Canis lupus familiaris: one gene and its partners. The protein of the gene in region 1 binds, or shares a complex with, the protein of each later gene. Links are inferred from orthologs where the notes say so. Each region holds a gene or a part of one and is shown on either strand. Other genes may lie near its edges. The genes, in order: POLE3, CHRAC1, BAZ1A and POLE.

Region 1 (7,543 bases):
GTATTTGGTAGTTTTTTCTTCAGTTTTGACAAATGTACCTTGGTTATGTAAGATGTCAACATGAGGGAAAGCTGGGTGATTACATGAGAACTCTGCACTCTGCAACTTTTCTGAAAACTAAGATTGTTCCAAAGTAAAAAAAGTTCATTAAAGAAAAAAAAAAAGAGAAAGAAATAGAAACAAAGTCACACACAGGGCCGCTAGAATAGGATCCTAGCTTTCATAAATAAATTGGTGGTAAGATCTTGAGCAAGTCACTTCTCTCTGATGAGCCTCAATTTCTCATTGGCAAAAATCGGATTAGGTTGCAAAAGTAATTTCTTATTTTTTTAAAGATTTTATTTATTTATTCATGAGACACACACAGAGACGCAGAGACACAGGCAGAGGAAGAAGCAGGCTCCATGCAGGGAGCCTGATGTGGGAGTTGATCCTGGATCTCCAGGATCATACTCTGGGCTGAAGGTGGCGCTAAACAGCTGAGCCACTGGAGCCGCCCTAAAAGTAAATTTTTAAAAAAGATTTATTTGAGAGAGAAAGAGCACGCACACACAAGTGGGGGAAAGGGCAGAGATGCAGACTCCCCATGGAGTTGGGGAACCCCATGCAGGGCTGGATCCCAGGACCCTGGGATCATAAAGTGAACCTGAAGTTGGATGCTTAACTGGGCCACATGGGGGCCCCAGTAATTAAAAAAAAAAAAAAAATCTCTATACTCGATATAGGGTTCAAATTTATAGCCCTGACATTGAGTTGCACACTTTGCTGACTGAGCCCCTCAGATACCCCTGAAAATGTAATTTTGCACTGGTAAAAATGGTAACCTTTCCACCCTCCAAATCTAGATCAGAATCTGTAGGCATGAAGGGTTGTGGCTTACAAAAGATGAGATTTTTGCCTTACCTTAGTTAAGCAACCTTCAAAATTCAGATACCACCACAGGAATGTTAAAGGTGTGCTTGGAAAAAACTAGTTGATAACCTCAGATTTTTCCTTTTTTTTTTTTAAAAAGTAATTTCTAGGGATGCCTGGGTGATTCAGTGGTTGGGCATCCGCCTTCAGCTCAGGTCATGATCCCAGAATCCAGGATTGAGTCCCGCATCACGCTCCTTGCGGGAAGCCTGCTTCTCCCTGTCTGTGTCTCTGTCTCTCATGAATAAATAAAATTTTTAAAAAATTTCTACACCCAGTGCAGGGCTCAAACTTACTACCCTGAGGTCAAGACTCAGGCTCTACCAGCTGAGCAACCCAGACACCTCTTAAATTCTGTGGTTTTAAGTCAGAATTCCCATTCCCAGGAAATATGCTTTTTTTCTTAGGTAGTCAAAGTTCGGGAAGACCTAAAGCCATGTGGAGAGTTCTTCTGGGGGATGCATTAACTGGAGACTTACAAGGTGGTAGAGACAGATTGGAATAGATGGTGAGGCAAGCCCTCAAGCAGGTTTTGTGTACCAGGTTTAAGTATGGATTAAATGGAAGCAGTGAGGGCCTGGAACATAGCAATGTTCCAGGATGATCCACTTGGCAAGCAGTACTTGGGGGAAGTTGGGGGGCAGCAGACAGGTGGCAGGACACAGTTCAAAGAAGCCACAGGAGTCCAGAAGGGACTTGAGAACTTAGCTGAGTGATGCTCATGGGAATTAGGAAAGGATGTTTCTGCTGTGGACAGGGAAAAAGCCACCAGATCTAATGACTCCTGGGTTTGCAAGTTTAAGGAATGTTATTTATAAACTCGTGACTTGAAAGTTATGTAGATTAGAGGTAATAAAGCATTGTGGTTGACATCATGAAGGTAAAAGTTCTCCTTTATAGGATTTCAGAGTTCATACTTGAAAGCATGTAGGACAGTACCAAACACACAATAGGGACTCGATAAATATGGAGTCATTAAGCAACTAGTAACCATAGGGTGCCCAGCAGAGCCATAGAAAAGCTCTTGTCGTGGTCGAAGAGCAGCATCTGCTGGTCATCCAAGGCAATGCAGGATCCCAGATTTACAAAGACCTGGCCCAGTCTACCTTCCAAAAACCATATAGGGATGATCAGTGAGGGTCCTCCCCCAAAGTATAGTATAAACAAGCAAGATGAAACAGGAGTCATCACTGTTAACAAGAATGTTCTTTATTTGTACAAAGCATTATAATTTTCCTCAACATTCTTCATTTATTTGTCAACAAACTCTTGACTATATTCATTAAACAAATTAACAGTGTCAAACTACATACATTTGACTATCTGTCAACCTCCAAGCGCTCAACTTAGAGACAAACAAAAAAGTGCTTGGAGCACCAAATATCAAGAGAAAAAAACAACAACAACAAAAAAACAACTCTGAGAAAGGTCGACAGAATTACTTTAGAAGCAGTTAAAGGGGATGGATTTTTTTGCAGTAGGGATTAGATTCCTGAGCACCATCAGATTTCTGCACTTTGGGACATTAAGCAGGTTATCAAAGATCCTGGGTTGGGAGATGTGACAAAAGGAGGAAGAAAGTGGGAATGGGGAACAGAGGAGAGGCAGAAGGGAGACAGGGAAGGGAGACGCAAGAGGGAGAAAGTTGTGCCTAAAAGAAATAAAGTTTGGAATTCGTCATGAATTAAAGAATGAAAAACAAAAGTCACAAGCCTGGGAAATGGACTATGAGAAGAAAAAGCCTGGGGTTTTATACCTTCCAGGAGGTGACCATAAATCCTAAAGCCATAGAGTGGCAGGCAATGAGGTGCATCTGAGACTAAACCGTCTGGTTTTTTTTGGAGGGGGGGGTAAGATATTGGCACACGTGCTTGACGAGTTCCACTTTACACTAATGATTTAGAAGCATATGCACCCAGAGGACAGCACCCCAGCAGGTCAAATGCCTACCAGGCAACATAGAGGAGCTCCACGCCAAGTGGGTCTGGAGAAATAAAAATTCAATCAATGTTAACGCCAAGTGAAAAGACAACAGATTTCATTTCCCCCCCATAACCTTTTAGTAGTTTCCTAAAGCTAAACCATCCCAACCACTTATAACAAGCTAGTACTGCCAAATCCTATACAATCAAAACAGACCAACCATGCTCAAAAGCCCCAATTTTTCCTGAGCTTTGACTGCCTCTGTGACCTGGAACACAGCAGGCAGCATGGAAATCATTATTACTTTTTTTTTTTGGGGGTGGTGGTGGTGGTGGTGATGGATGGGGACCAAAAAACTGCCAGACCACATATATAAGTAATAAGAGATCAAATCGACTAATTAAATTTAGCCGCTCAGAATCCCTCTCGTCAAAAAGTCATTACCTTCAGAACTGACTTAGCAAAATGGGACTCTGCTATTCAGATGCTCTGACGGAAGCGCTGGTTTTGGTCATTTTAGTCAGTTTTTATTTTGATCTTCTCAGGCTCTTCTGGCGAGGCCCACTCTCCCCAGCAGGGAAAGAGCCTCTCAGGACCGCACCACGTTTCAGGGCGGTACCTGCCAAGGTGCCAACGTCTTCCCGTCCCACTAGTTGTCTACTTCCTCCTCTTCGTTCTGTTCTTCTTCTTCCAGCCTTTCTTCGTCTTCATCGTTGTCCTCATCTCTGCCCTTGTCTTGCTCCTCTGCATCGGTTTTTTTGTCTTTGTCCTTCTTCTTCTGCTCGGAAGCTTCCTTCTTGCCTTTCTGCTCTCTCCTGTACGCTGTGAGGAGGAAGGCGGTTAGCAGGCAGGGCTGGACCAAACCCACCGCAAGCAGCCAACTCCGCTGCACAACCGGAGAAGCTGGGGCCGGGAAGGAACAGTGAATCTGCTCGGCATCACAAATCAGATCAGATTCGGCGCCCATCGAACGGATTCCGAGTCGCAACCAGATACTCGGTTCCTGTTCCTACGCAGACCCCAGCTGCGAAGGCTCAGCGCGGCCAGGTGAGCCGGTCACACGGGACGGACATCTCCTCGGCCGCACAGAGCAGAGGGACGTTACCTTCCAGAGCTTCTTTCAGGGGGGTGACGAACCGCTGGAACTCCATCTCCTCCATGGCTGAGAGCACGTCACTGGCGTTCAACGTCTTGCGTTTTCCCTTCATCGCGAAGTTGTTGGCACTGAAACAAAAGGGAGATTCGGGCGTGAAACGGGGCAGGGCAAAGCCTAGGTCAGGGATGCTCGGATGCGTCCCTCCCCTTCCCTGCACAAAAGGGTCGTTTTATTTTGCTTCAGACCTCGCGAGCCCTGGACGAGGGCGCGACCTCCGCCGCACCGCGGGAGGGCCCACCTGTTGGGGGTTCGCGACTCCAGGGTGCGGAGTGGGGACCGGACGGGGGGGGGGGGGGGTCTGTGCGGCTCCCTCCCTCCCTCCCTCCCGCCCCAGCCCCAGCCCCAGAGGAGCTCTCGCCGGCTCCGCCCGGCCCGGCTCACCAGGAAGTGGCGTACAGCACGAAGACGCTAGCGGCGCGGGAGATGGCGCTGCGGGCCTCCTTGGAGATGTTGACACCGTCCGGGAGCTGCGAGAAGAGCGCGGGTGAGTAACGCTGCGGCCCGGGACCCGGGACCCGGACCCCGGACCCGCTCCCCCGCTGCCGGCTCGTCCGCCCCGCGCCCACCCGCCAGCCGGGGCTGCCCACCGCTTCCTTGATGATCCTGGTGATGACAGCATTGGGCAGGTTTAGGTCCTCGGGCCTCTCCGCCATGGCCGCCGGCGCCGCGGCCCGCCTCCGCCTCGAGCCTCTCCTCCAGGCCGCTCCGGCGTCCGGACTTCCCGCGTCGCCGCGCGCTGACCCAAGGAGGCTTCCGTCCCGCCCCCCGGGGCCCACGCTGCGTCCCACAGTGCCCCGCGCGCCATTGCCTCCCTCAGCACCCGGCCCCGCCCCCGCCTCGAGTCGCCCGAGCGTCCGAACTCTGCACGCCGCTACGGCGTTGGCCTTCCCGGGTTCTCGTCCGGCCTCCCCCCGGGGACCCAGCGGCCCCTTCCCAGGCTCGTGCCCCTGCTGCTGGCCGCCGCCACGTCTAGAGACTCCTCCTTCAGCTCAAGTATGGCTCACCGGAGCTTCCGTCCCTTCCCCACAGTGCTCTGCGCCGTTGCCTGGCAACGGCGGGCGTGGGCGACGGAGGCGTGGGCGGGGCTCCTTCCGACGCGGGGCGGGGCCTCGCCGCGTCTCGGCGTCGGCGCGGGCGTCGGGCTTTGCGGCCGGATTCGGCTTCCCGGCCGCCCGAGGCCCGCTGTCCCGCTCTGCGGTACCGGAGCGAAGCGGGTATCTTTAAAAAAAAAAAAAAAATTTTTTTTTTTTTTTTTTTTTTTTTCAGTTCTGCGGGACCTGATGTCCGTCTTGGAGCTCTTCACCCCTCCCAGCTTTGCCATAAGCGCAGTACGGAGAACCGTCGCCTGGAAGTGCTGCACGCAAACTCCTTTGCGGGCGCAGCGCTAAGGCTGGGGACGTAGACGCGGGCGGGGCTCGCCTCGGGCCTGGGTTCGGGCCGCCCAGGAGGAGAGCGCGGCCTTGCGTTCACTCAGAGCCAAACCCTCAGCCTTCTGTGTGTCTTTTACTTCGTTGACTTGTGCATAATACGTCTTTCCCAGTCGCAAGCATCATTAGCATGGTGTTGCACTGGCTTTTAGGTTGCATCATTGCATAGAAATTATTCTCATTCTCCCTGAGCTCGAATGCTTTTTTTTTCCCCCGTAAAATGTGCTGTCTTATGTCACCCTTAATTTACCTTTTTTTTTTAAAAATATATTTTTAAATTTATTCATGAGAAACAGAGAGAGAGAGAGACAGGCAGAGACACATGCCGAGGGAGAAGCAGGCTCCCTGCAGGGAGCACGATGCAGGACTCGATCCAGGGTCTCCAGAATCACGCCCTGGGCCCAAGGCAGGCTAAACCGCTGAGCCACCTGGGCTGTCTTTAATTTACTTATTTTTGAGTAATTTCTTTCTTTCTTTCTTCCTTTCTTTCTTTCTTTCTTTCTTTCTTTCTTTCTTTCTTTCTTTCTTTCTTTCTTCTTTCCTTTTCTTCTTTCTTTTCTTTTCTTTTTTTTTTTTTTTAAGATTTTACTTGTTTATTCATGAGAGACACAGAGAGGCAGAGACATAAAGGGAGAAACAGGCTCCCTGTAAGAGGCTGGTGCTGTGGGACTCCATCCCAGGCCCCGGGGGATCACCATCTGAGCCAAAGGCTGATGCTCAACCACTGAGCCCCCTCAGGCATCCCTATTTTGAGTAATTTCTACCGGGAACGTCAGGCTGGAGCTCATGACCACAGAGTCATGATCAAGAGTCACATGCTCTACCTCCTGAGCCAACTGGGTGGGCATCCCAGTTTTCCAGCTTTTGACAGAGACATAAGTACAGAGAAATACTTCCCTATTAGGAGAAAAACACCAGCAAACGTGATGATAAAGAGCAACTGGAACTGGATTAGTTAGAGATTATAGGGTTTGGTGGGGGAAACTCCATTTGGATGTAACAGGTCTGGTTTAAAGATACCAGGAGGCTCTCAGCTCCAATTGCTGTATAGTTGGAACTGTGAGCCGTGATGTCATATATTTTGATCTTTAAGAGGAACCAGAAATCTGAACACCGTGGACTATCTCCACTTAAAAAAAAAAAAAAGATTCAAAGTGCAGGCCAAGCAAAACAAGTCATAGGGCAGCTGTGATGCCATGCCAATGCTGCGCTCTCTTTGGTCTAATTTATAAGCTCTTGAGAACAAGGACTTATTTTGTTCATTACTGTTCTCTATGCCTGTTACAGGTCCCATCACATATATGGTAGTCAGTAAATGTGTTGGATAAAAGGAAGAAGAAATGGATACTGTCCGTAAAAAGTTATTAGGAACAAAAAAGTTATTAGGGATCAGGTGGTAGTGATCGCCTAAAATATTTCTAGAGAGAGAAAGATGATACTGTTTGTTGATCCTATATTATATATCATACGTAAAAATATATTATTTCTCTTAATGCTTTAGGGATTTTTCTTCCCCTCTTTATATGAGGAAACAAGCTGAGAGAGTTGAAGTCACTTGCCTACGACCATACAGCCAGTAAATGGAAAGCCAGAGGCCTCTGATGTGACTGTGAGTCTGCTGATTTGGTGCTTGAGCAAACCCATTGGTTTCTGCTGGGTATTTTTTTTTTAAGATTTTATTTATTTATTCATGAGAATAGACAGAGAGGAGAGAGAGAGAGGCAGAGACACAGGCAGAGGGAGAAGCAGGCTCCATGCAGGGAGCCCGACGTGGGATTCGATCCCAGGTCTCCAGGATCAGGTCCTGGGCTGTAGGTGGCACTAAACCGCTGAGCCACCAGGGCTGCCCTCTGCTGGGTATTTTAGCTGCCTGTATGAAAAAGGAGCATATTGGGCAGCCCCGGTGGTACAGCGGTTTAGCGCCGCCTGCAGCCCAGGGTGTGATCCTGGAGAACCGGGATCGAGTCCCACGTCGGGCTCACTGCATGGAGCCTGCTTCTCTCACTGCCTGTGTCTGCTTCTCTTTCGGTCTCTCTGAATAAATAAATAAATAAATCTTTAAAAAAAAAAAAGAAAAAGGAGCATATTGAAAAATGAAGCATGTTTTCCAAAGGTTATGAGCCCA
Region 2 (7,728 bases), on another chromosome or scaffold:
TATGACCCTTTCCAGAAAAAGTTTGTGAACTTTCACATGGGTAAAGAATAGCTCAGTGGTTGCCAAGGTAAAGGGTTTGAAATGACTTTGACCAAGAGGGAATTTGGGGGGTGATACAACTGTTGAATCTTGTGGTTGTGGAACTGGTTTTGTCAAAGCTCAAAACTGTATATTGAAGTGAAGATTTTCTTAAAAAATTAAAAATTTTAAAACGAGAGGAACAAAGTATCAGTGGTTACCTGCAGATAAAGGAAGGGACTGCAGGGGTACAGGGGAAAATTTGGGGTGATGGGGAACTGTCCCATATATTGATATTTACATAAAAGATTGGCTATTAAAGGATGATTTATTGGATGTAAAATTAATTCAACTTTTTTAAGATTTTATTTAATTATTCATGAGAGAGACATACAGAGAGAGAAGCAGTGACACAGGCCGAGGAAGAAGCAGGCTCCACGCAGGGAGCCCAAAGTGGGACTTGATCTCCGGTCTCCAGGATCACACCCTGGGCCAAAGGCGACACTAAACCGCTGAGCCACCCAGGCTGCCCTAATTCAACTTTTTAAAAAAAGAGAGAGAGACTAAAAAAACAGCCAAAAATTTACCCTATGTGGGGGAAAAAAAAATAGGGCTTGTAGTTTTCTCTGTGAAGAATAAAAACAATTTGAGTATAAAGAAAGGAACAGTAAAATAAGACATTTTCTTTTAAGTTTTATTTATTTACTTGAGAAGGAGCAGAGGCAGAGGGAAAAGCAGATCCCTGCTGAGCAGGGAGCCCAATGTGGGACTTGATCCCAGGACCCTGAAATCATAACCTGAGCCAAAGGCAGATGCTCAACTGACTGAGCCACCCAGGCGCCCTGAGAGATTTTCAATATACAACATGTTTTAAAATGTTTTTTAAGAAAAAATAAAAATAAAAAAATAAAATGTTTTTAAGAGAAATATGTTTATACAGAGATTATATTTCTTTTCGTATTTGATTTAATTGAGTTTTTTTTCTTCCGAGAATGAAAGTATTAGAAACGCTTATTTTTAAATTTTGCAGACTTCTCAGATAATATGCAAGACATTAGAATAGAGAGCTCCAAAACTAGTTCCACAAAGCATTGACTAAAACTATGTACAGCTTCTAATAAAGAAATTTTATTTCTTTACAGTTAATAAAATTGTAGTATTTGAACAAATCATTAAATTTTCAAATGTAACATACTACCCATATACTATGTATTTAGCTCAAACTACATCTAGTTGTTTACAAGAACTAATTTCCAGATATACATCTATGAATTTATACAACTGGTATTTAGAAGCTCTTCAAAATCTATCATCTGTAAATTAAAAAGTGAAGCAAAATTGTCTGCCTCCACAGCTTTCAGCTGCAGCAGATCAACTGGCAGTGCCTGACCATACAGGCAGCTTTCTTGGTGCCTCTGTGCCCCCGAACTGCAGTGCGGGCCCCTCAGAGAGGCTGCTGTCTGGGTCACTTTTCTTCTGGCCATTTGTGATGTGGGCACAACAGGTGCTCTATCTTAGCCAGGAAGAAATCCAATGTACTTGAAGTCTCTGAGAAGTGAGGAGTCTAAAGTCACACAGCGCTGTGCTTACTTCCAAGCAATGCTGCTAATCCAGGAGGGTCCTCAGCAGGGTGATTTCTAAAGCACTTCCTGTTTGGTCTAGGATTCTGCTTCGTCCCCGTCACTCCCATCATCGCTGTCATTCTCCTCGTCCTCGTCCCTCTTCTCTTTAAGCATTTTCAGATATTTACTAGCTAAAATCTTCTTTGGTAATATATCTTAAAAATATAAAGCTAACATCAGCAATTGGTTTTGGCAGACCACGAACACAGCAATGCAAATTTCAAAATGTGCTAGTTTCTGCTTTGAACTCTAGAACAGTTTCCAAAACAAGACAAAATTCCGACCATGCTTCTGGGTGAAATAGCAGGAAACAAGTATTGCCTCCTGACTCCTGCCAAAGACCTGTTTCCACTCCACGGACTGCAAATTATGTGCTCCTGTATGTGCTGGTGATGAGCAAGTCTGCCCACCTACCTGAGACATGCCGACTGGCCTCGGAGGCAGATGGAAGCTCTTTACAGCTGTGGCCCCCACAGCCTGTCCACAACTATTACTTTCTCTGCTCTTAGGGCCACGTAGACCAGCCCAGAGTTTTCCCTTCAGTGATAAGGAGTCTGAGGGGTGGGTCAGCCAGGCTCCCCCAGCCACCCAGCCACCCAGCCAAACATCCCTGTGCAGGTTGCTGACTTCGTTACCATTCTAGGTGAACCACATTACAAACATACTCTGACAAAACTACAAATGTCTTCCTGTGCCAGGTCATGGTAAACTTTGGCACCTGGAGAAAGCAGCAAAAAAAAAAAAAAAAAAAAAAAAAAAAATTGTCTATTTCAGTGAAAACAGGAGAAAAAATAGAAGGAAAGAAAAAAAAGGTGTAAATTACTATGTATGTTTTAACCAGAATGTCTCAAAGACTGAGTACCTGCAAGAAACTGAAAAGTTTCCGATTCCTCTGCAGTGTTTGATAAATCACTGTAGGTGAGAGCTTTCCTTTCTTTTCCGCTGCCATGTCTGTAGGAATAGGTGGCTAGATACTGAACAAAGAGTTCCTAAAACAAAACGAAAAAGTAAAATGAAAGGTATGCTCTAAAAACCTACCGCAGAACTTAATTTTTTAAATTACATTAAGGCTTAGGTGACCAGACTGCAGATTATCTTGGGTTCTCCAGTTACAGGAAGCCCGCGGGGGTCAAAGCCGGTGGGGAAGCAGGCATTGCCCTAAAGCCATTTTAGATTCCTAATGCAGGCAAAACGCTGACCAGGCATTCAGCCGTGGGTTGGAAGTGTGCAAGGACTGCAGCTCGGTCCACTCCCAACTTGCCTCCTTGACCCAGCGCAGTCGGCCTTCTCCTCGAGCACCGCGTCTCAGCCGGTTCCCTACAACGTTTCCCCATTTGCCCAAACACCTTCCCTAAAGCAACCGCCTGAGCGGAGCCTGGAGCCTCGAGGTCACCGCTCCTCACTCTAACGCCCTCCGGGCCCGGGAGGGAGGGGTCCTAGCGCCCGCCCGCGCCCCGCGCCCCGCGCCCTCACCCTCGCAGGCGGGACGTGCCGGGCGGGGACACCGAGCACCCCGAGGCCAAGGCTGCTGGGGACGCTCTCCCTCCGGGGCTCTCAACCCAAGGAGGCGTGAAGGCGCGGGTGATGTCCGGGTGACGCAGGCGCCCGGGGGCTCTGGGCCTCTAGGGCTCACTCAACTCTACCCTTTAACGGGAAACAGAAGGAAGATCCCCGGGACCCCGGGAGCACGGAGCCCCCCGGCCCCCAGCGGCGGAGGCCCGAGCCCAGGGACACCGCGCGCGGGCAGAACCGCAGCCGACACAGGGCCCGGGGCGCTAAGATGCAGGCAGGTGCACCTGGGCGCGCGCAGGTACCACGGGCGCTGATGAGGCGCGGGAGGCCCCGCCCCCTCCCCCGAGCCGCCGGAACCCGAAACCCAAGGCACAGGCCGCACGCGGGGGACGGGAAGGCGCGGGGGCCCGCGCGGGGGACGGCGGGAACGGCGCGGCGGGCGGGCCGGAGGGCGCGCAAGGGAGGACGGGAGCTGCGCGGGCCGGGCGCGGCGCCGCAGACGGAGGAGCGGGTAGGCGATAGGCGCGCGAGGGCGGACGGGAGCGGGGGGCGGGGCGGAGGGCGCGCGGGGGAGGGCGGGAGCGGCGCGCGGTGGGCGGGGCGGAGGGCGCGCGGGGGAGGGCGGGAGCTGCGCGGGGCAGCGAGGCAAGCCGAGTGGGTGGGCGGAAGGCGCGCCGAGGAGGAGGAGGAGGAGGGGGACGGCGGGCGGGGCGGAGGGCGCGCGCCCCGCGGCCGGGGTGGGGGGGGTCGGGAGGGGGGCGCGACGGTTCCGGGCGGCCCCCCGCCCCTCCGTCCTCCCGCGCGGCCCGCCTCACCGTGGCCTTGGCCGTGAGCACCAGCGCCTCCTGGTTGATGCTGGACACCTCGGGCGAGCTCTTCATGATGACCCGGATGCGGGACAGGGGCAGTGACACGAGCCGCGGCTCCCCGCACTTGTCTCTGCCAGCGACCGCGTCCGCCATCTTCGCGCCCCGCCCCGCGGCGGCCGCCGAACCCGCCGCGAGGCAGGCGGCCTGCCGGCCTGGAGGGTGCGGGAGCGGCGTCCCGCTGCCCCGTGGGAGTTGTAGTGTCGGGGAGGCGCGGCCGCGGGGGCGGGCGCCTGCCCTTCCGGGGCCGGACTACAAATCCCGAGATGCCGCGCGCCGGGGGGCGGGGGCGGGGCTTCCCGCCGGGGGCCGGCCTGCCTGCGCGGTGCGGGACCCGGGGGCTCGGCGGCGATCGCGCAGCGGGGTCCGCGGAGATACCGGGCGGGGGGCCCCGAGAAGGCGCTGCCTCGCGGCGGGGTCCACGCCGGCGCAGGCCCAGGGCTGGAGCCGCTCCGGGAGCCCGGTGTGCTGCAGCAGGACTGCGAGGGAGCCTCGGCTCTGCTGGCTCTTGTTCTAAGTGGGAAGCGGCCGAAGGGATCTGTCGGGCGAGTTCCGGGATCCCTCTGGCTGCCGTGAGCGGCGCGGGGCGGAGCGGGGAGGGTGCGAGCGGGGGGCAGAGTAGAAGGCGGAGGCCGCGGACAAGCTGCGGTGTGCCCGGGGCGGCCGAGCATCCTCAGCTCAGGTCTTGAGCTCGGGGCGGGGAGTTCAAGTCCTGCGTGAATCACGCCGTACTTGGGCGGGGGGCGGGGAGGAGATGCCGGCGTGGCTAAGGGGCGGTGAGCTGGGAGAACGGAGTCGGAGGCAGCCAGGGCTTTGTGGATCTCGGAGTTCTTCCCAGTGAGCCCAGAAGCCCTGGGGAGAGGAAGGAGGCGCGGGGGGGGGGGGGGGGCAAGAAGGGAAGCAGCGCGGCGAGGAGGCTGTTGCCAGGCCCCAGTGAGGCGCTGGGAAGGACTCGGGTTAGAGACCTCCGGGGTTCGGGCAGGACTCGGGTTAGACACCTCCGGGGTTCGGGGAGGTCTCGGGTTAGAGACCTCCGGGGCGTGGGGAGGATTCGTGTTACAGACCTCCGGGGTTCAGGGAGGTCTCGGGTTAGAGACCTCTGGGGTTCAGGCAGGACTCGGGTTAGAGACCTCGGGGTTCAGGCAAGGACTCGGGTTAGAGACCTCCGAGGTGTGGGGAGGATTCACGCTAGAAACCTCCAAGGTTCGGGCAGGACTCGGGTTAGAGACCTCCGAGGTTAGAGCCACCACGACCTGCCGGTGGGATGGGAATGAGGGGCGGGATGGCGGTGCCACGTGCCAAGATGGGGAGCACTGCCCCAGGAGCAGCTTTGGGGAGAGGTCTGGTTTGGAGGACGTTAAGCTTTAATTGCCAAACACTAGTGGTGGTGCTGAGCGGAAAATTGGACATGAGACCCTGGAATTTGAGCTGGAGTCCGAATTTTTTGTTTTGTTTTGTTTTTAATTTTTTGAACCGGAATTTAGGAACCAACATTTGTTGCGCCCAAGATTGCAAATCTGAGAAACCACCAAGGAGCCAACACCGATGCAAACACACGAGGGTTTATTAGCAAGCTCAAGCTTGGGTCCAAGTATACCCAACACAGCGGAGCAGGGACTTGGACCCCAAGATGTGTTACAGCTGGGTTTTTATGGACTGCTCTAGGGGTAAGGTGGGGTTTTTCAGTAAGGGGGGGTATGTGTGAGAATCTCCAGTAAAGAGGTCTCACAAGCTCTTGCTTCCTTATTCCGAATAAGGCCGTGCTTTGTGTTTTTTACTGTAGCTGGGGTAAGGTGGATTCAGGACCTGGTCACAGTGGCCTGGTCACAGTGGCCGGAGATGGCTACCGAAGCTACAATGGCTGTACTTGGGCCAATGTTAAACTTGAATGGCCCTAATTCTCTCAGCCTGCACACATTGTCTAGGTAGTTAAAACGGTGACCTTGAATGAATGCATTCAGGAGAAGAGTGTAGATGGAGTGAAACAGTCCCACCGCAGCATTTCAAAGTGGCAGAGAGAAGGAAAATCCAGCAAAGGAGGAAGGCCGGGAGGAACTGACCATTGAATAAAAGGAAAACCAAGAGTTTGGGTGTCCATGAAGCCGGTCAAAAGCTCTTCTGACGGACACCTCGGTGGCTCAGCAGGGAAGCCCATCTGTCTTCGGCTCAGGGCATGACCCGAGGGTCCTGGGATCAAGTCCTGAATCGGGCTCCCTGCATGGAGCCTGCTTCTCCCTCTGCCTGTGTGTCTGCCTCTCTCTGTGTCTCTCATGAATAAATAAATAAATCTTAAAAAAAAAAAAAAAAAAAAAAAGGCTCTTCTGAAAGGAGAAGCTGCTCCACTGGATGGAGCTGAGACGTAGAGTGGGAGGACTGTCCTGCCACTCAGCAGTGTGACCCCAGGCAGAGCAAGTGCTGAACCCGTTTCCTCATTTACAGAGATGGGAGTACTCCGATGTTGGGGTTAGGAGGTGTGAAAGCGCCTAGCATATAAAGATCGAAGTCCCCGCCCTGTCAGTGACCCTCTGCCCGCCACTACCTCCCTCCTAGTCAGTGGTAAGCAGCAAAGGGGATGGGAATGAGAAAGCTCTTTGTGAACTGTAAAGCACCCTCCAAAAGTAAATTACCCCGTAAGGTTTCAGTGTTCATGTGGCAAGTTCTTTTCACCCCCTGATCAAATCAACTTGGATTTCAAAGTTCATGGAAAAAGGTGCCTGGCCAGCCTAGGCATAGACCATGTGACCCTTCATCTTGGGGTTGTGAGCTCAAGCCTCACGTTGGGCGTGTTGCCCTACTTAAAAAAAAAAAAAAATTAGGGCAACCTGGGTGGCTCAGCAGTTTAGTGCCACCTTCGGCCCAGGGCGTGATCCTGGAGACCTGGGATTGAGTCCCAGGTCCCCGTCGGGCTCCCAGCATGGAGCCTGCTTCTCCCTCTGCCTGTGTCTCTGCTGCGCTCTCTCTCTCCTTCCCTCCCTCCCTCCCTCCGTCTGTCTCTCATGAATAAGTAAATAAAATCTTTAAAAATTCATTAAAAAAAAGACTGGGAAATACAAAGTATTGTGTAAGCTTTCTGATTTTTTTTTAAGATTTTATTTATTTATTCATGAGTGACCCGCAGAGGAAGAAGCGGAGTCCACGCAGGGAGCCCGACACAGGACCCGATCCAGGGACCCAGGGATCACAGCCTGGGCCAAAGGCGGCGCTAAACCACTGAGCCACCTGGGCTGCCCAGCTTTCTGATTCAGATTCTGTCCCTCACCTGGGTAGTGATTACAAAATATAAAATGTACACTTGTATAGCATGTTTGTGCAAGTCTCATACGTTTTGAAATTTACTGCTCTTTGTTCTTCCTGAGGAGGGGACCCTAAGACCAGAGGTCACAGATGACCCGGCTTACTGACATTTGCAGTATTTAGAAAGTTTTCCCTCTGCCTTCAGCCATAATGACCTAGTGATTTTAGCACTTGGTGCGTGCTATGTCATTACAAGGTGAAGGCTAGGGACGCCTGGGTGGCTCAGCGGTTGAGTGTCTGCCTTTGGCTCAGAGCCTGATCCCAGAGTCCTGGGGTCGAGTCACACACTGGGCTCCCTGCAGGGAGCCTGCTTCTCCCTCTGCCTGTGTCTCTGCCTCACTCTCTGTGTTTCTCATGAATAAATAAAATCTTAAAAAAAAAAGGTGAAGGCCAAGAATGCGAGGACAGCGTTCCCT
Region 3 (7,724 bases), on another chromosome or scaffold:
CCCAGTCAGTAAGACACCTTTTAATTTTGATGTTTCCCTTTGCTCTGAAGAAGCTATTTATTTATTTATTTATTTATTTATTATTATTTTTTTTTATGATAGTCACAGAGAGAGAGAGAGAGAGAGAGGCAGAGACACAGGCAGAGGGAGAAGCAGGCTCCATGCACTGGGAGCCCGACGTGGGATTCAATCCTGGATCTCCAGGATCGCGCCCTGGGCCAAAGGCAGGCACCAAACCGCTGCGCCACCCAGGGATCCCTGAGGAAGCTTTTTAATTTGATGGTCCCACTTGTTTCAATTTGCTTTCATTGCTCTTGCTTTTGGTGTCAGATTAAAAAATCATCACCAAGAACGGTGTCAAGGAGCTTACTGCTTAGGAGTTTTATAGTTTTAGGTCTTATGTTCAAGTCTTTTAACTTATTTTGAGTTTTGTGTTACTTTTGTGTATAACACAAAAACAGTGGTCCAGTTTCATTCTTCTGTACTTTAGCTTATGCATTTACCTACAGTTAATGTGCTATTTTTAATGAGTCTTCTTTACTTATGGAAAGCAGGTCAAACATGAGTTAGTAATTAAAGAACATGTAGTTCAAACAAACAGAAAAAGGAGTTTGTACTGTATAACCACTAAGGATCTATCCTGGTCACAGTCCCTTTCTCAAAAAATTCAGGGTCTAGGAAAAGAGAAAAATTGAGGCAATAATGTATTGCATTACTATGTAGTAATAGCTGATCTTACACTAGATAAAATGGAGGGATGATCATTGCTGCCTAGGACAAAGGAGAAAGCGCTAGGCTATTACACCAAGTAGGATAAAGACAAAAAACTATTTAACAATTAAAAGGTCACTGGCAAACTTCTACTAACCAGAGTCAGAAGAAAAAGTTATACTTTGCATTGTATTGCAAAGGGAACAAGGTAGGGAGGTGTAGAAAATCCCTTTGAGATTGATTAAGGTAGAAAGGTTCTATTCAGAAATCAAAAACCTGAGCAAATAGATGAGCACAGTGGTCTTCACCCCAATACAAAAAACAAATATTCATATAATGCCCTTAAAGGATAATCTTCAAACAAATTCACATAAACCAACTGGTGAGCTAATGAATAAAAACAGAGATTTCCTTCTCCAGACTTGTGCCAAGGGTCAGATTACCATAATACCAAGGATCACCATACCATAAACCATGAATACAATTTTGATCTCTCTGTAATCATCTAAGAGGGAAAAAGTAAACCAAAATTTAACACAATTAAATGTCAGTCTTCTTCCCTTTTTGCCAATTTAAAGTCACAAAAATTAACACCTAAGAACACTAGTAGCTCTCCTTTGTTCTTTGCTCCTAAACCAACTGCCTCTCCTGAACTGCTTGTAAATTCCAAAAACCCAAATACTTCATCACAGGGAAAACAACAAAACCCAAAAAAACAGCTATTTAAAAAAGAACTTTGTTAATGCTATAAAACTACAAAGGACACAGTTTCTTAATTAGTAGAAGGTGGAATATCTAAAATCTCTTCCTTTATTTCGGCATTTCAGATACCTCCATGATTATAGTAAATCAAGAACCAAAGTATACAAAAAGTTTAATTCAAAAGGGATACAGCCATATTCATGCGCCCTTCTAAAGTGGGAAAAGTCTCTTAAAAAGGTAAGATTGCTTATGCCAAAGGGGAAGTTTGAAACTTAACCCCGTTTTCTATTTTCTTGGCACTCTTAAATACCATTTTTTTTTAAATTGGGAATTATTACCAAGGATTTTAACTTAAACTTAAAAAAAAAAAAAAAGGCATCATCCTTGTCAAGTTACCTAATCCAAATTCACTTAAGTTACAAGAGTGAACTCTATTTGAGTAACAAAACAAGTCTGTACAGGAGTAGATTTAAGACGTGCACTCCTATTTTAAAAGTACAGTCGGCTGAAAAACTTCTCCCGATATAACATGTTTATGTGTAACTCTTTCTGTGGAGCTGAAGAAAAAGAAGCCTTACTTTTAAAAGCTCAAAGGAACTGATTTTTCTAACTTCGCTGCTCGTTTCTCAGACAGGTGCGGACTTTGCTGAAAGCCCTCCCTCGAGTAAGCCCCCACTCAGAATAAGGTGCCTCCCACACACAAGTTATTTGGTTGCTATAACATTTGGTTTCTAAGCCACAAAGGGACCCCCCTTCTGAGCGGAGAGGGAGGATAACGCACGAGAAAAAGGGAGGATCAGGCTGTTTCATTGATCGACCAATTTAGGTTCTCACTTGGAGATCCTGTTTAAACACACATCTCTAAAGCACCCCAGTGTTCGGTGTCACAGGACAAGTGGATCTCTTGGGATAAACCAGGCGAGGTACTGAAAATTTAGGAGTGAAAACTACACACGCAGCAGCTCCGGATTCTTATCAAAACAATAGCGAGTGGCACATGTCAGGCAGCCCACATGCGCAGGGGGATAAAAAGAGGAGACTGGCTGAGGCTGGAGTTGAACTTGTCTTAACCCCCTCCCCCTACGCCCACCGCCGCCCTTGGGGCTACGCCAAAGTGATAACTAAGTGCGCCCAGTGCCCGGCTTTTTCCCCCTCCCTTCCGCCCCCCCTCCCCGCCCGAACCCGACTTCTTCCTCACCAAGGTCTCCCGGAGGCGGAGACGCTGAGTTCTCCGGGGCCGGGAGTTAGTCACCCAGAAGAGGTGGTGACAGAGCACTAGGCTTGCGTCGCACACTCCGAGGCCTAGCCGCACCGGACGAGAGGCCGCCGGTGATGGCTCGCGAGTCCCGGACCCCGCTGCCCCCCGGCCCGCCGGGGGCTGGGGGTGGGGGCTCCTTCCCCAAGTCTCAACTCGGCCCCCTCCCCTCCCCTCCTCCCTCCCCTCCCCTCCCCTCCCCTCCCCTCCCCGCGCTAAGGCAGCCCCAACGTCAGGCTCCACTCTCGACCGAGGAAGCAAGCGCGGCCCGGCCGTTTCCTGCCCCCGGGGGTGGGGATTCCCTCTCCGGGCCGGGGGACGGCGGCCCCGTGCCGCTGACCCGAGCGGGGATCCCCTCGGCCGCCGGGCGGGGATCCCGGAACTGGCCCCGGAGTGCGCGTGTGGCCGAGGCGGGGAGGGGCGAGGCGGGGAGTTTCCGCTGCTCGGCTCCCGGGCGGCAGCGGCTGCTAGAAGCGGTCCCCACGGCCGGCCGAGGACCCCAGCTTCCGCGGCCCCGGCCCGCTCTCCCCACGCGCGCCTCAGCCGGTCGCGCCGCCCGGGGACCCCGCGCAGTCCCCGGGTCGGGCTCGGGGGGCCGGGAAACGCGGGCCCGCGGCCAGCCGTCACTTGCGAGTCGCCCCGCCAGAAGCCCAAGGCGAGGAAAAGAAGAGAGAGACAAAAGGACGCCGGGGAGGGAGTCCCCACACTCCCTCGCACCCCCCGCGCGCGGCCCGGCCCTTACTCGTAGTGGCGGAAGATCTCGTTGGTGACTTTACAGTAGAAAACTTCCTCGTCCGGCCGCAGGTCCGCGGGCGGCTTCTGTCTCACAAACGGCTTTCGGTGTAGCAGCGGCATCTCCCGTCCGCCCGCGGGCTCACCCGGACCCTCGGCCGCCCGCGTCGGCCCCGCTTCCCTATCAGAATTGGAGGGAAAGGAAAGCCGGTAAGGTGGGGAGCGCTCGGCCGCGGCGTGGGCCAGTCCGCGCGCCGGGGGAAGCTCGGCTGCCTTTTGTGTGACTGACGCGCCGCGGCTGCCACCGGAGCCGAGGTCGCTCCTGCCGCTCCTGGGGTATTGAGCGCGCAGAGCCGCCGCCTCTGCCCTCCCAGCGCGCCCCACCTCCGCACGCCCGGCGGCCGGCTCACAATGGGGCCGCACGCCCCGCCGCGGGCGGGCGGGCGGGCGGGCGGTGCGGGAACGGCGGCGGCCCCCTCCCCCAGCGCCGGCTCCCAGCCCGCCGCCGCCGCCGCCGCCGCCGCCGCCGCCGCCGCCGCCGCCGCCTCGGGCTCGCAACGTGCTTGGCGCGCAGCCGGCCGGCCCGACGCCGCGAGGAGCTCGCTGCGGGCGGACCCCGGCGCCGCTCCGCTTTGTTCCCCCGCTCGCCTACACTTCCCTGTCGGCGCCGGCCGGCTCCCGACGACCACACGGAGCCCCTCACCTGCGAGCACGCCGACTGCCACTTCTCCACCTTTTCCACTACAAAGGCGGCGAGGGGAGCCTGTGTCCTGCCGGGGGGTCGCTTCTCGCCGGCCCCGCCGCGCCGCCCGCCGCCGCTTCTCCCGCTGCCACGGCCTGGCTCCGCGCGGGGGATCGCGTCCCACCGCCACTTCCCCGCCTCTCGGAGCTCCTGGGAAGTTTCTGATCTACTTTCGGCTCAGAAGGAGGAAGAGCTGTTGGGAGGAGCTTTTCACTTCTCGCTTCTACCTTTTTATTGGCTACTCGATGACTTTTACAGCCTGTCACTGATACAGGAAGAGACGGCGGAGAGCCTGGGAGAGCTACATTATTAATTAATGGAGCAACCCCTTGTGTAGAATCAGAAGCATCCTCCATGTTTGAGATTATCAGCCGAGAGATCTAGGGAAGGCGCTGGGCTTGCATAAACACATGGCTAACAAAGTAAAGCCTTCATCTTCAAGTCTGGCACCATCGCTTGGCTTCACGGTGGGGGAAGGAGCCCAGTTAAGATTTAACTTTTATTTTAAAGATGGGAAGAGAAGTGAGGAATAAAAAATAGAAAGTATTTTGATATTTTCCTCAGAAAGAATTTGCATGTCTAAAAACATATTTTGCTTGTGTAAACATCCTTCTTGAAAAGAAAATACCTTTCTTGACAGCAGTTCTCGTTAATATTTAAAGAGGGCAACTCAGCCAAAGACTTGGCAGAGGAAAAGACCAAAAAAGTCTTTTTTAGAAAATGTCATCATGCCTGTAGGACTCCCACATATTTGAAACTAAAAACTAAATACACCTTTAAAAAGTAGTATTTGTGATACGCCAATGAAAACATTTTGCAAAGTATCAACATTCGATTCAATCACACAGAATTTTAAAGGTTGTGGATTTACTAGTGAAATTTCCCCTAAGCAACTTTCCCATATCCACAATTTCCATTTGTGAAACTAATTTTAATTCACATAATAAATGTGACTTTTGAATTAAAAGGAATTTTTCAAACTACAAGTGATTCCAAATGTTTGCCAGCTTTGTGTAAAATGGTCTTTTTTGCTACTGCCCTTGACGTTTGCTTATTTGTGGATTAACATGTAAGAATGAATCTGTAAGACAGTGAGTTTGAAGAACGGCCATTCAACAAAGGACACAACTACCAATACCGTGAAATGGTTATAGTTATAATGTGGGATCATCTTTTTATCTTGAAATTAAGGACATTTGTACATAGGAAAAAAATGTGAGGAATCTGTTCAAATTGCAAGAGTTATAATTTTTTAACTTCTTTCAACGTACTTTTATGGCAGCTAGCAAAATGAATTTTTGTGGAAGACAATATGTTTTGAGTGTTTTAAAAGTCATTAATAAAATTGATGCACTTTACTGTCTGAATATAGAAGTCACAGAGGCTTGGAAATGTTCTCAGAACCAACTATATTCTTTAGTCTGGATAAACTCTTCAAAAAAAATTATGCAGTCATTTAAAGTGGCCTTGTACTTGAGTGACAATTTAAAATTCCCTACCTAGAAAGTATTTAATTTTCCAGGTGAAAAATTTAGAACCTACAAATATAATCTCAAAGGGGGAACATGGAGGATGGATAAATTTACAAGTGCTAATGAAGCATCACTCTCACAATCCAAAATCCCAGCTTATCCGTTAAGCTAAAAACAGGAAATTTTCCCTGAATATATCATATTTGTATTTCTTAGAGCTCACTAAGTTTTTATTTAAATTCCAGTTAACATACAGTGTAATACTAGTTTCAGGTGTACAATATGTGTGAATCACTATTCAACACTTCGATACGTCATCCCTCAGGGCCTTAGAGCTCACTATTTGATGAGGTTAAAATTTTGTTAAAATCATGATCAAAAATGGTGATTTTATTTTTATTAGATACAGATTTTTAGATAATTGGATTCTTTTTAGTACTAACTTAAAATTGAAATTTTATTCTACATTATCAGAATACTATTTCCCTACTACCATATGCTGATACCAATACTACGATACTAACATTACTCAATTCTCTGAGTTACATACATAGCATTTATTTTAATGATTTGTGATATTTAATAATGTTATACAGTTGTTCATTGTTAATTCACAATAATATATATTTAGTAAATTATAATTAACATATTAATTTAGTTTTGATGTGTTTATACTACTTGATCAAATTGATAGACTAAGTTACCTCAAAATAATACTACTTTTGTTTATTTCGTTAAAGGTTTTATTTATTTATTCATGAGAGACAGAGAGAGAGGCCAAAGGAGAAGTAGGCTCCCTGTGGAACAGGAACTTGGATGAGGGACTGGATCCCAGGACCCCAGGATCACTACCTGAGCCAAAGGCTGACACTTAATGGAATAAGCCACCCAGGCAGACCTAAATCATACTTCTTTTAAAGTTATCCTACACATTTATTACTGAAAGTTACCTAAGATGTTTATTTCATATTTTGCTATCACGATTAACTCTTTATTACTACTTCTAGGCTTTTGAGAATGAAAAGCTCATCGCTATTTCAGGAAGTAGTTAAGGATACTGTCATGAAATAAGACCATGTGTGAAAAAATTGAAAGTATTGTAAACTATGAAAATTAAAGTATCACATAAAAAATGAAATTAAAATCTTTTAATTTTTTAACAATTTAATTAAACATTTATCAGGCTTTTCTTATGTGCTAAGACACTACTAGCTCATGGAATACACTATAAATGTATCCTGGCCTTAAAAATTGTACAATCTGGGGTGCCTGGGTGCCTGAGTCAGTTAAACATCCGACTCGTGGTTTCAGCTCAGGTCATGATCTTGGGGTTGTAAGATTAAGTGCGCCTCATTGGGCTTGGGCTCAGTGTGGAGTGGGCTTGGGATTCCTTGCCTCTCCTTCTCCTTCTGTCCATCCCCATGCTTGTGCTCTCTCACTCTTTCTCAAATCAGAAAGGTCTTTTAAAAAAATGAACAATCATCTTCTAGGAAAGAGATGATGTAAATACAACAAAAACAAGAATTGTGTGAGTACTAATGATCTTGAGTAATATAATGCAAGAAGAGAAGTAGAAAGATTAGAAGTAAATATAGGAGGACGAATGATCTGTCCCAAATGAAGTCATCAATGGGGCTTGATTTGAAAGGCAATAGAAAGCTTGTGTTCCAACATTTCCTCACAGGTCTCAGGATGCATCCCTCACTCTCCTTTAGTCACCTCTCTGAATGAAGACATCAATTGCCCCCACTTAAATGTAAAATGTAAATATCCTAGGTAGGCAGGACATATATTAGTCTAAATCATCAAGACTAGTTGAATATTTGAGAAAGTACATTGCTTTATGTATGTAAAAACAAATCTATGAAAAATGTATTTTCAAGCTTGAGCTAGAATACTTTTCCTTTTTTCTATTGATTGATTAAGAAAGGCTTAGGTGGCTTGGTGACATAATAATTAATTACTTAAAGCTGAAAGAAACCTTTGGGAACTCTTAATTCTTTCATTTTGAAGCTGAGGAAACTTAAATTCAGTAACTGAAATCTAGGCCTCTTGACTCTTTGTCCAATTTCTCTAGACCACTGTGCTTTTCCCCTTGGATTTGATAATA
Region 4 (7,103 bases), on another chromosome or scaffold:
TCATGAAGAAATATAAAGATGAGCAAGTGGGAACCCATAACCTCCGGCCTCCCTCAACCTCTCCGGGTTCTCCTGTGGGTGCTGCTAGTCTGCTGTGCTCTTCCCCGCCCCCAGGCCCTAGTTTTAAACTCCTGTTCTCTCCTCACACAACCCCTTCAGCATGGAAACAGGAAGCCACCCTACACCCCTCACCCTGTGCCCATTTCCACATCCTCCCCATGGCTCAGCCCATGACTGACACAGCTAGGTCTCTAGCACTCACAGCTGTCTCTTGACTGCATCGAGTCTCACCTCCCTCGGCCTCCACACTCTTGCCATCCTTGTCTTCAGAAATGCCCCCTGGGGCCTCCCAGTATTGCCACCTCCTCTGAGAGCCCCCAACCATCCTTTTACGTCCTTTCCTCAGAGACCGCTGATCACCATGCCCCATGGGAATGGGGTTCCCAGGCCTGCTTACACCTAGAACCTACGTGCTCCTTGCCCAGAAGCCCACCGCAAACCACAGGACCACAGGCCCCCGGCCCCAAGTCCATCCCTCTTCACTCCCATCCTAATTATGATTTGGCCTGCCCCTTCCAACCCATGCACGGTAATGCCAAGGCTACAGAGGAAAGAGATAAAACTTTAAGTGTGTCAATGGCTCCCCAAAATTCACCTCCCCACAGGGGACAGGGGCCCACAAAACCTCCTTTCCCTTCAGCCTTCCTCTCAACACCCTGAGCCCCGTCAAATGCCTATCTCCAGTGTGGACATCCTTGGCTGCTGCACCCCCACCTTTGTGGGGGGCTTTCACAGCATCAAGACCTTACTCTACTTGGCCATCTTTCTGTTCTGGCTTCCCTAGCAGGTCCAATGCTAACATGTTTACTGGCAGAAGGAATAAGAGCACATGATGAAGACAGCACATTCCTGGACCTAGCCAGAGCCCCAGCCACTGTCCTCAAAGGTGATGGCTGCTGCTTCTCAGAAGGCCCCTTCCTCAAAGGGAGGTGAACAGGACCAGTAGTGCAAGAAAGGAGCTTTGGATTCCAGTCACAGAAGGCCCTCCTAAGATAGTGCGATGAGCTGCCGGGCCTACCTGAGACAGTCCATGTGGATGCACTGGGATGCCTTGTACTCTCCCTGACTGTCCTTCTGGAACCCGATCTCCTGGTACATGCTTAGTCCGTGGACTGCTGCTCTGGCCTCCACAAACGGCCTAAGGATAAGGGAAGACCGACAAGCACATGGGCAGTTATCCTTCAGTCCCTCAGAGACAAGAAGATTGCGCCTAGCACACCCCTAAGCAAAGCCAGGAAGCCCCACACTTCTCCTCAAAATACAAGGAGCCTCTTCGGCCACCAAGTGGCATTCCTCCTATCCCTCCCTTCTCTCCCAAACACTTTCCTTCCATCTCAACCACTTGTAAGTAAGTGTACAGTTCGGCAGCAGTAAGCGGTATATTCACACCACTGTGCAACATCCCCTCCCAAACGCATTTTAGTTACTCACAAAGAAGACATCAGACTTACCAGTCAAAAAAGTCCCCATTGTAGGTGACCATGATGGTGGGTTTCATCTCCTGGACATGTTCAAACCATCTCTGGATTAGATGAACCTGAATTCAATGATTCTTAGCTGTCAGAGAATTTCTGTTTCTCTTTGAGCTATTTCCAAGCACCCCTCCCCAAGTTTAGGAAAAGCAGGGACCTCGTGTCACTATTTTCACACTCACCCTGTGCCACCAATGTGAATGAGGACCACACCACTCAATATCCAGTCCAGCACACTGCTGGGTTGTGCCTCTTCCTCCCATTTCACCCCAAATACTAGGCAGTCTCCCAAGGAATACCTCTTTACCTCGTCAGGTTCATTAAAGACACAAAAAGGTCCTTCATACTCTGGCTTGGGGGTGAACTCGAAATCTTCGACATCTTCTGAAACGATCTCCCTGTTGGTGATGAGGTAGCCCTAGAAAGTGCGTGCGCCAGTCAGCGCGAGTTAGGACACACAAAGCCAAAACACTATACTTTTGGTGCAGAAGACCCTACCATAGGAATCTGCAGCAATGGGAAGGCCCCCAGTTCTCCCAAGAAGAGCACCAAGTGTCTCAAATTTGTATTGGAAGGAAGGAGTATGGCTTGTTTGTTCACTTTCTTGAACTCAACTCACTAATTTTTCACCATACACACACACACGTATTTTTTTATTTTATTTATTTATTTATAAGAGAGAGAGAGAAAGAGAGAGAGAACACACGAGAGAGAGGCAGGCAGAGGGAGAAGCCGGCTCCATGCAGGGAGCCAGACGTGAGACTCCATCCCAGGTCTCCAGGATCACAACCTGGGCTGAAGGTGGCACTAAACCGCTAAGCCACCCAGGCTGCCTTCACCCAAAATATATTAACCACAGTGTGGATACTGCTCTGGTTTAGGGACCAGACAAGGTTCCTGCTCCTAGGAAGCTTAAATCCCAAAAGATACCACTTACCTGACCATCAATCATGTAGGAAATCATCATAATCTGGTCAGTCTCAGCATCAGGAAACTTGAGAGGCAGTTTGGTTGTCTCAATGTCAAATGCCAAAACCACAGGGTCCTGCAGGGATGAGATGTCTTGTTAAGCTGGACATAAACCAATTCGAGCTCCAGAGACCCCAATGGTCATCTCAACACCCACCCCTCCACCTCCAGCTGCTAAAAGCAAGAGTTGAGCTGCCACAGGGAGAGGTTCCAAAAGAAGTGAGACAGGCATTTGGGGGTTGACTGACCTATATCAAGAATTCTATGATTCACTGATGGTTATGAAGACTTAAACATATATGAGAGGTTGGAGCATGATAGGAAAATCCTAGAATTACAGAACACTTGAGTCTCGATGTGCATGCAAATGCATGACCCCTTTATGATAATCCAGATAGGAGATGGTGGTAGAAATGCTTTCTCATTCTGGAAATGAGAAAACAGAGTACAGACTTGCCCAAGAACATAAAGCCATCCTGAATCAAGGTCTGCCAATTATAAATTCACTTTTCACCACAACACTTCACCATCAACCACTCAAAATGGAAGTCAGAGCTTTCCCTCAAATGTTCAGATCCAGCCCAGTTCAAACACAGACATCATATGGTGATACGTAAGCACAGAATGAAATTATACTCGGTCAGAAACTGACCACCCCCCAAAAAAAATATTTTTCTGCAACTTTTTAAAGTATTTGAGGAAAAAGAAAAACAAGTCTGAATCAAATTCATCCTTCAGCACCAAATGAGATCTCTCCAGAAATAAGTGGAAAAGTCAGGATGGAGGAAATGCAAGCAGTGCTCACAGGTCGTTCAACAAGGTCATCTCGGCGGGTGATTTCCACAGGAAAGGCACTTCCTCGGTATCTGATGTTGTACCAATGAGCCTGCAGGACATGCAGCACGTTAATAAAGAGCTCTGCATCTGTCCTGGGAGGTGTGTATCTCTACAGATTTATCCTTTCAGGGTCACCTCCTGACTGTCCATCCGGCTGCCCAAAGTAATGGCCCACTCACCACATGGATCTTCAGGTCAATGGAGAGGCGGATGTGGTAGGGCACATCATACTCTCGCATGTCCACAATATTGTCCAACTGGTCAGTGACCTTCTTAGAGGCTTCCTCTTCATCAATAACCACACTGCCCCCTTGCAGAACGCTGCAAAACAAAGAGAGGCCAGCTTATTCAACTATACCCTACTAGGGGTCAAAAAAGAGGGAAGACCAGAATCTATGTGGAATAAACACAGAAGGTAAATCAAGGTGGCAGAGATGACCAAAGAGGCTCTTCTTAGAGAATGGCCTTGGATGACATCCTCCCACAAGCAGCAGGCCATACAGAGGAAATTCTATGCACACTTAGGACATGTGTCTTATAAAATGTAAGTCAAAATTTTTAAAAATTGGGGTGCCTAGGTGGCTCAGTGGATTAAGTGTCTGCCTTCAGCTCAGGTCATAATTCCAGAGTCCTGGGATCAGGCCTCACATCAGGCTCTCTACTCAGCGGTGAGTCAGCTTGGGATTCTCTCTCTCCCTCTGCCTCTCCCCAGGCTCACACTAGCTCTTGCTCGCTCTCTCAAATAAATAAATCTTAAAAAGGAAAAAAAAAAAAAGTAGTGTCACTGGGAATCCAAAATGTCCTTACTATCACAGCCAGAAATCCACCCCTATGTAAGGAAAGAGGCACAGTTAAAACTACAACCCAGGAAATCATTTAACACAAATGCAACACATAAACTCTACCTAGGCTGGAGCACCTAGGTGGCTAGGTTAAGCGTCTGACTCTTGATTTTGGCTCAGGTCATGACCTCAAGATGCAGAAATTAAGTCCCCTACCTGGCTCTGTGCTAGATGTGGAACCTCCTTATTATTCTCTCTCTTCCTCTCCCTCTTTCTCTCCCATTGCTCCCTTGCTCTCATAAATAATTTTAATTTATTTTAAGAAAAGAAATTCCACCTAATTGCTTGCAAGTGTATCCACACTGAACAGAGCCTTAAGGCTAACTTCATTGCTGAGCATTCCTGCTTCCTATTCATCTTGTCAACCTATGAAAAATGGGAAAACAGTCCTGTGGACTGCCTAGCTGCTCTGCTTACAAGGCTTACCTGGACAGCATAGCTGTGTAGGCATCACCAGCATGACCCTGCTCCCGGTTCTTCTTCACAGCAGGGGAGACATCCTTCCTCACTCTAACAAGATCCTCCACAGTGTGGAAGGACAGCTTAATGTAATTTCGCTTCAAACCCACCAAGTGATTTGGCTAGAAAGTGATGAGATTGTGTTCATGAGTTCAAGAGAAAAAGGACTTTATTTGGGGTAAAAAAATAAAGGGAGAACAACTCAAAAGTAAATACACAAGTAGAAGAGTTGGCAAGTCCAAAGCATCTTGTCCAACTCTATACCACTAGAATTCTCTAAGAAGACATATAGACAGTCACATCGCATAGGTGCTCAACTTGGCTTCTTCCCATCTCACCCCAGGAGCAGGGTAGACTCAGCCTCATTTACCCTGGAAGGTCCAGGTGATACTCACCAAGTCTAGATCCTCTTTGGGGACAGTCTCTATTTTAGCAATTCTACCCTGAAACTTCTTGGAGAGAAAAGATGAAACTTCTCGTTCACAACCCTAAATCAAGATCAGAATGAAAAGACTTCCTATTAGTAAAAACTATTGTTTTCCTTGTATGTTCCTCTAGAGGCCTCTTTCAGTTCTGAAGCCCCCCCTATAAAATGAGGCACAGGTCATGTGACTTAATTCTATGGACGACAGACTTACCTTTCTGGCTGCAATGTAGAAATACGGCTCGTAGGGCAAGGCCACCTGCAAGAGCCACCAACCCATTCAGGGGCAATAAGAAAGAAAAAAAGGGAGAAAAGTGAAGACAGGCTATTTGCAGTTATACCCACAAGCAGCCAAGATCCGACGTGTCCTTGACTTTGACATCTTTTACCAGATGACACAGTCAGGAATTAGGACCTGCACATATGGCAGGAGCGAAAGTCTGAGACAAACAAAATCTCGGTCTTTCCAAGCTGGTTATGATATCTTAAATAGTGACCCATGTAGCTTCAAGGGGTCCATGTCCCTGACATGCTTCAAGCAGCTGAACACTAGAAGCCTCCCAACCCCTCTCCTCCCAGATAAATGAACACCTGGCATATTGGACCCCACCTATACCTCATCACTGAGTGGGTCTTAGCTGCCTGGGGTTCAGGAGCTTACCTTAAATCTGCTCCCATCATCTTGAATAAAGTAGTAATCTACTGCGCTGACTAAGCGTTTGTCTTCATCTAAAATCTCAGTCTGTGAGAGAATGAGTCAACACGGGCACAAGGTTATCCTCTATGCAGTACAAGAACCCTCTTGCTCCTACTCTGGGAAACTGAGCACAAAAACAAAACCCTTCTCCACCCCCACATAAACACTACCAACCCTACTCACAAAGAACCATACCACATCTTCCAAATGAGGATTTCTCTCAATCTCTCCCTCATCTTTGAAAACTTTTTATAGGTTAACAGGGACACCCCTCAGTTTTATATTCCCAGTAACCTCTATACAGCCCAGTGACATTAAATAAGGAGGAGAGCTACAAACAATCCCATCTCCAGCTGCACTACCCACTCTTCAAAGGCCTAAGCCACAAGGAGAGTGCAACTGCCCAGGTGCTTACAGGGTGCATGTTGATAAGCCAGCCCGTCTTCTCCCCAGACTCCTTGAGTCTCTCAAAACCAAACCGCAAATCCATCTTATCTGTCCACTGACTGCGCTCCAGGCGCTTAAGTGCTGAGACAGAAGAGGAGAGGCCATCATCCCTGAATGAAAGGAGAAAGGAAATTCTGTCTTCACCGATCATGACACTATCTATTCCCGCAACCCTCAGTTCACCCAGTGTAAGCATTTTGGATGCCACATAGTAGATGCCTCCCTGAAAAGCCTTGGCCAAACAGTTCATTAAAATAATAGAAGTTGCAGGAACCATGACTGGGGAAGGAGCCTCAAAACCTATGCAACTCTGTAACCAGAACACTAATAAAAATAACCATCATGGCAAGACACTGCTGCCTTATAAGATATTAAAATGCACAGGAGCACCCCACGGGCTTAGTCGGCTAAGTGCCTGACTCTTGTGCCTGACTCAGCTCAGGTCACGATCTCAGGGTCATGAGACTGAGCCCCACACTGGGCTCCACACTGGGCATGGAGCCTGCTTAAGATTCTCTCTCTGGTGGAAAAATATTCCATGCTCATGGATTGGCAGAATTAATATTGTGAAAATGTCAATGTTACCCAGGGCAATTTACATGTTTAATGCAATCCCTATCAAAATACCATGGACTTTCTTCAGAGAGTTAGAACAAATTATTTTAAGATTTGTGTGTAATCAGAAAAGACCCCGAATAGCCAGGGGAATTTTAAAAAAGAAAACCATATCTGGGGGCATCCCAATGCCAGATTTCAGGTTGTACTACAAAGCTGTGGTCATCAAGACAGTGTGGCACAAAAACAGACACATAGATCAATGGAACAGAATACAGAACCCAGAAGTGGACCCTCAACTTTATGGCCAACTAATATTCGATAAAGGAGGAAAGAGTATC

What was found.
Region 2: POLE3 (region 1) and CHRAC1 share a complex: the UniProt entries of both Homo sapiens proteins name them as parts of the CHRAC ISWI chromatin remodeling complex. The link is inferred for Canis lupus familiaris from reciprocal best matches to the Homo sapiens genes POLE3 and CHRAC1.
Region 3: POLE3 (region 1) and BAZ1A share a complex: the UniProt entries of both Homo sapiens proteins name them as parts of the CHRAC ISWI chromatin remodeling complex. The link is inferred for Canis lupus familiaris from reciprocal best matches to the Homo sapiens genes POLE3 and BAZ1A.
Region 4: POLE3 (region 1) and POLE share a complex: the UniProt entries of both Homo sapiens proteins name them as parts of the DNA polymerase epsilon complex. The link is inferred for Canis lupus familiaris from reciprocal best matches to the Homo sapiens genes POLE3 and POLE.

The regions. Positions count from the first base shown.
Region 1 is NC_049232.1:68,165,800-68,173,342, forward strand, and holds POLE3 (DNA polymerase epsilon subunit 3), read right to left. Parts: upstream 4,747-7,543; 5' UTR 4,645-4,746; coding exon 4,579-4,644; intron 4,476-4,578; exon of another isoform or gene 4,459-4,475; coding exon 4,373-4,458; exon of another isoform or gene 4,369-4,372; intron 4,060-4,368; coding exon 3,941-4,059; intron 3,658-3,940; coding exon 3,485-3,657; 3' UTR 2,100-3,484; downstream 1-2,099. UniProt on the Homo sapiens protein: Accessory component of the DNA polymerase epsilon complex. Participates in DNA repair and in chromosomal DNA replication.
Region 2 is NC_049234.1:35,772,370-35,780,097, reverse strand, and holds CHRAC1 (chromatin accessibility complex protein 1), read right to left. Parts: upstream 4,198-7,728; 5' UTR 4,115-4,197; coding exon 3,968-4,114; intron 3,664-3,967; exon of another isoform or gene 3,591-3,663; intron 2,630-3,590; coding exon 2,503-2,629; intron 2,359-2,502; coding exon of another isoform or gene 2,294-2,358; exon of another isoform or gene 1,802-2,293; intron 1,796-1,801; coding exon 1,677-1,795; 3' UTR 1,125-1,676; downstream 1-1,124. UniProt on the Homo sapiens protein: Forms a complex with DNA polymerase epsilon subunit POLE3 and binds naked DNA, which is then incorporated into chromatin, aided by the nucleosome remodeling activity of ISWI/SNF2H and ACF1.
Region 3 is NC_049229.1:13,852,918-13,860,641, forward strand, and holds the start of BAZ1A (bromodomain adjacent to zinc finger domain protein 1A), read right to left. Parts: upstream 4,243-7,724; 5' UTR 4,104-4,242; intron 3,654-4,103; exon of another isoform or gene 3,582-3,653; 5' UTR 3,524-3,581; coding exon 3,411-3,523; intron 1-3,410. UniProt on the Homo sapiens protein: Regulatory subunit of the ATP-dependent ACF-1 and ACF-5 ISWI chromatin remodeling complexes, which form ordered nucleosome arrays on chromatin and slide edge- and center-positioned histone octamers away from their original location on the DNA template to facilitate access to DNA during DNA-templated processes such as DNA replication, transcription, and repair.
Region 4 is NC_049247.1:450,205-457,307, reverse strand, and holds part of POLE (DNA polymerase epsilon catalytic subunit A), read right to left. Parts: intron 6,318-7,103; coding exon 6,176-6,317; intron 5,806-6,175; coding exon 5,725-5,805; intron 5,323-5,724; coding exon 5,278-5,322; intron 5,128-5,277; coding exon 5,035-5,127; intron 4,762-5,034; coding exon 4,607-4,761; intron 3,660-4,606; coding exon 3,518-3,659; intron 3,388-3,517; coding exon 3,307-3,387; intron 2,578-3,306; coding exon 2,470-2,577; intron 1,951-2,469; coding exon 1,840-1,950; intron 1,598-1,839; coding exon 1,512-1,597; intron 1,199-1,511; coding exon 1,079-1,198; intron 1-1,078. UniProt on the Homo sapiens protein: Catalytic component of the DNA polymerase epsilon complex. Participates in chromosomal DNA replication.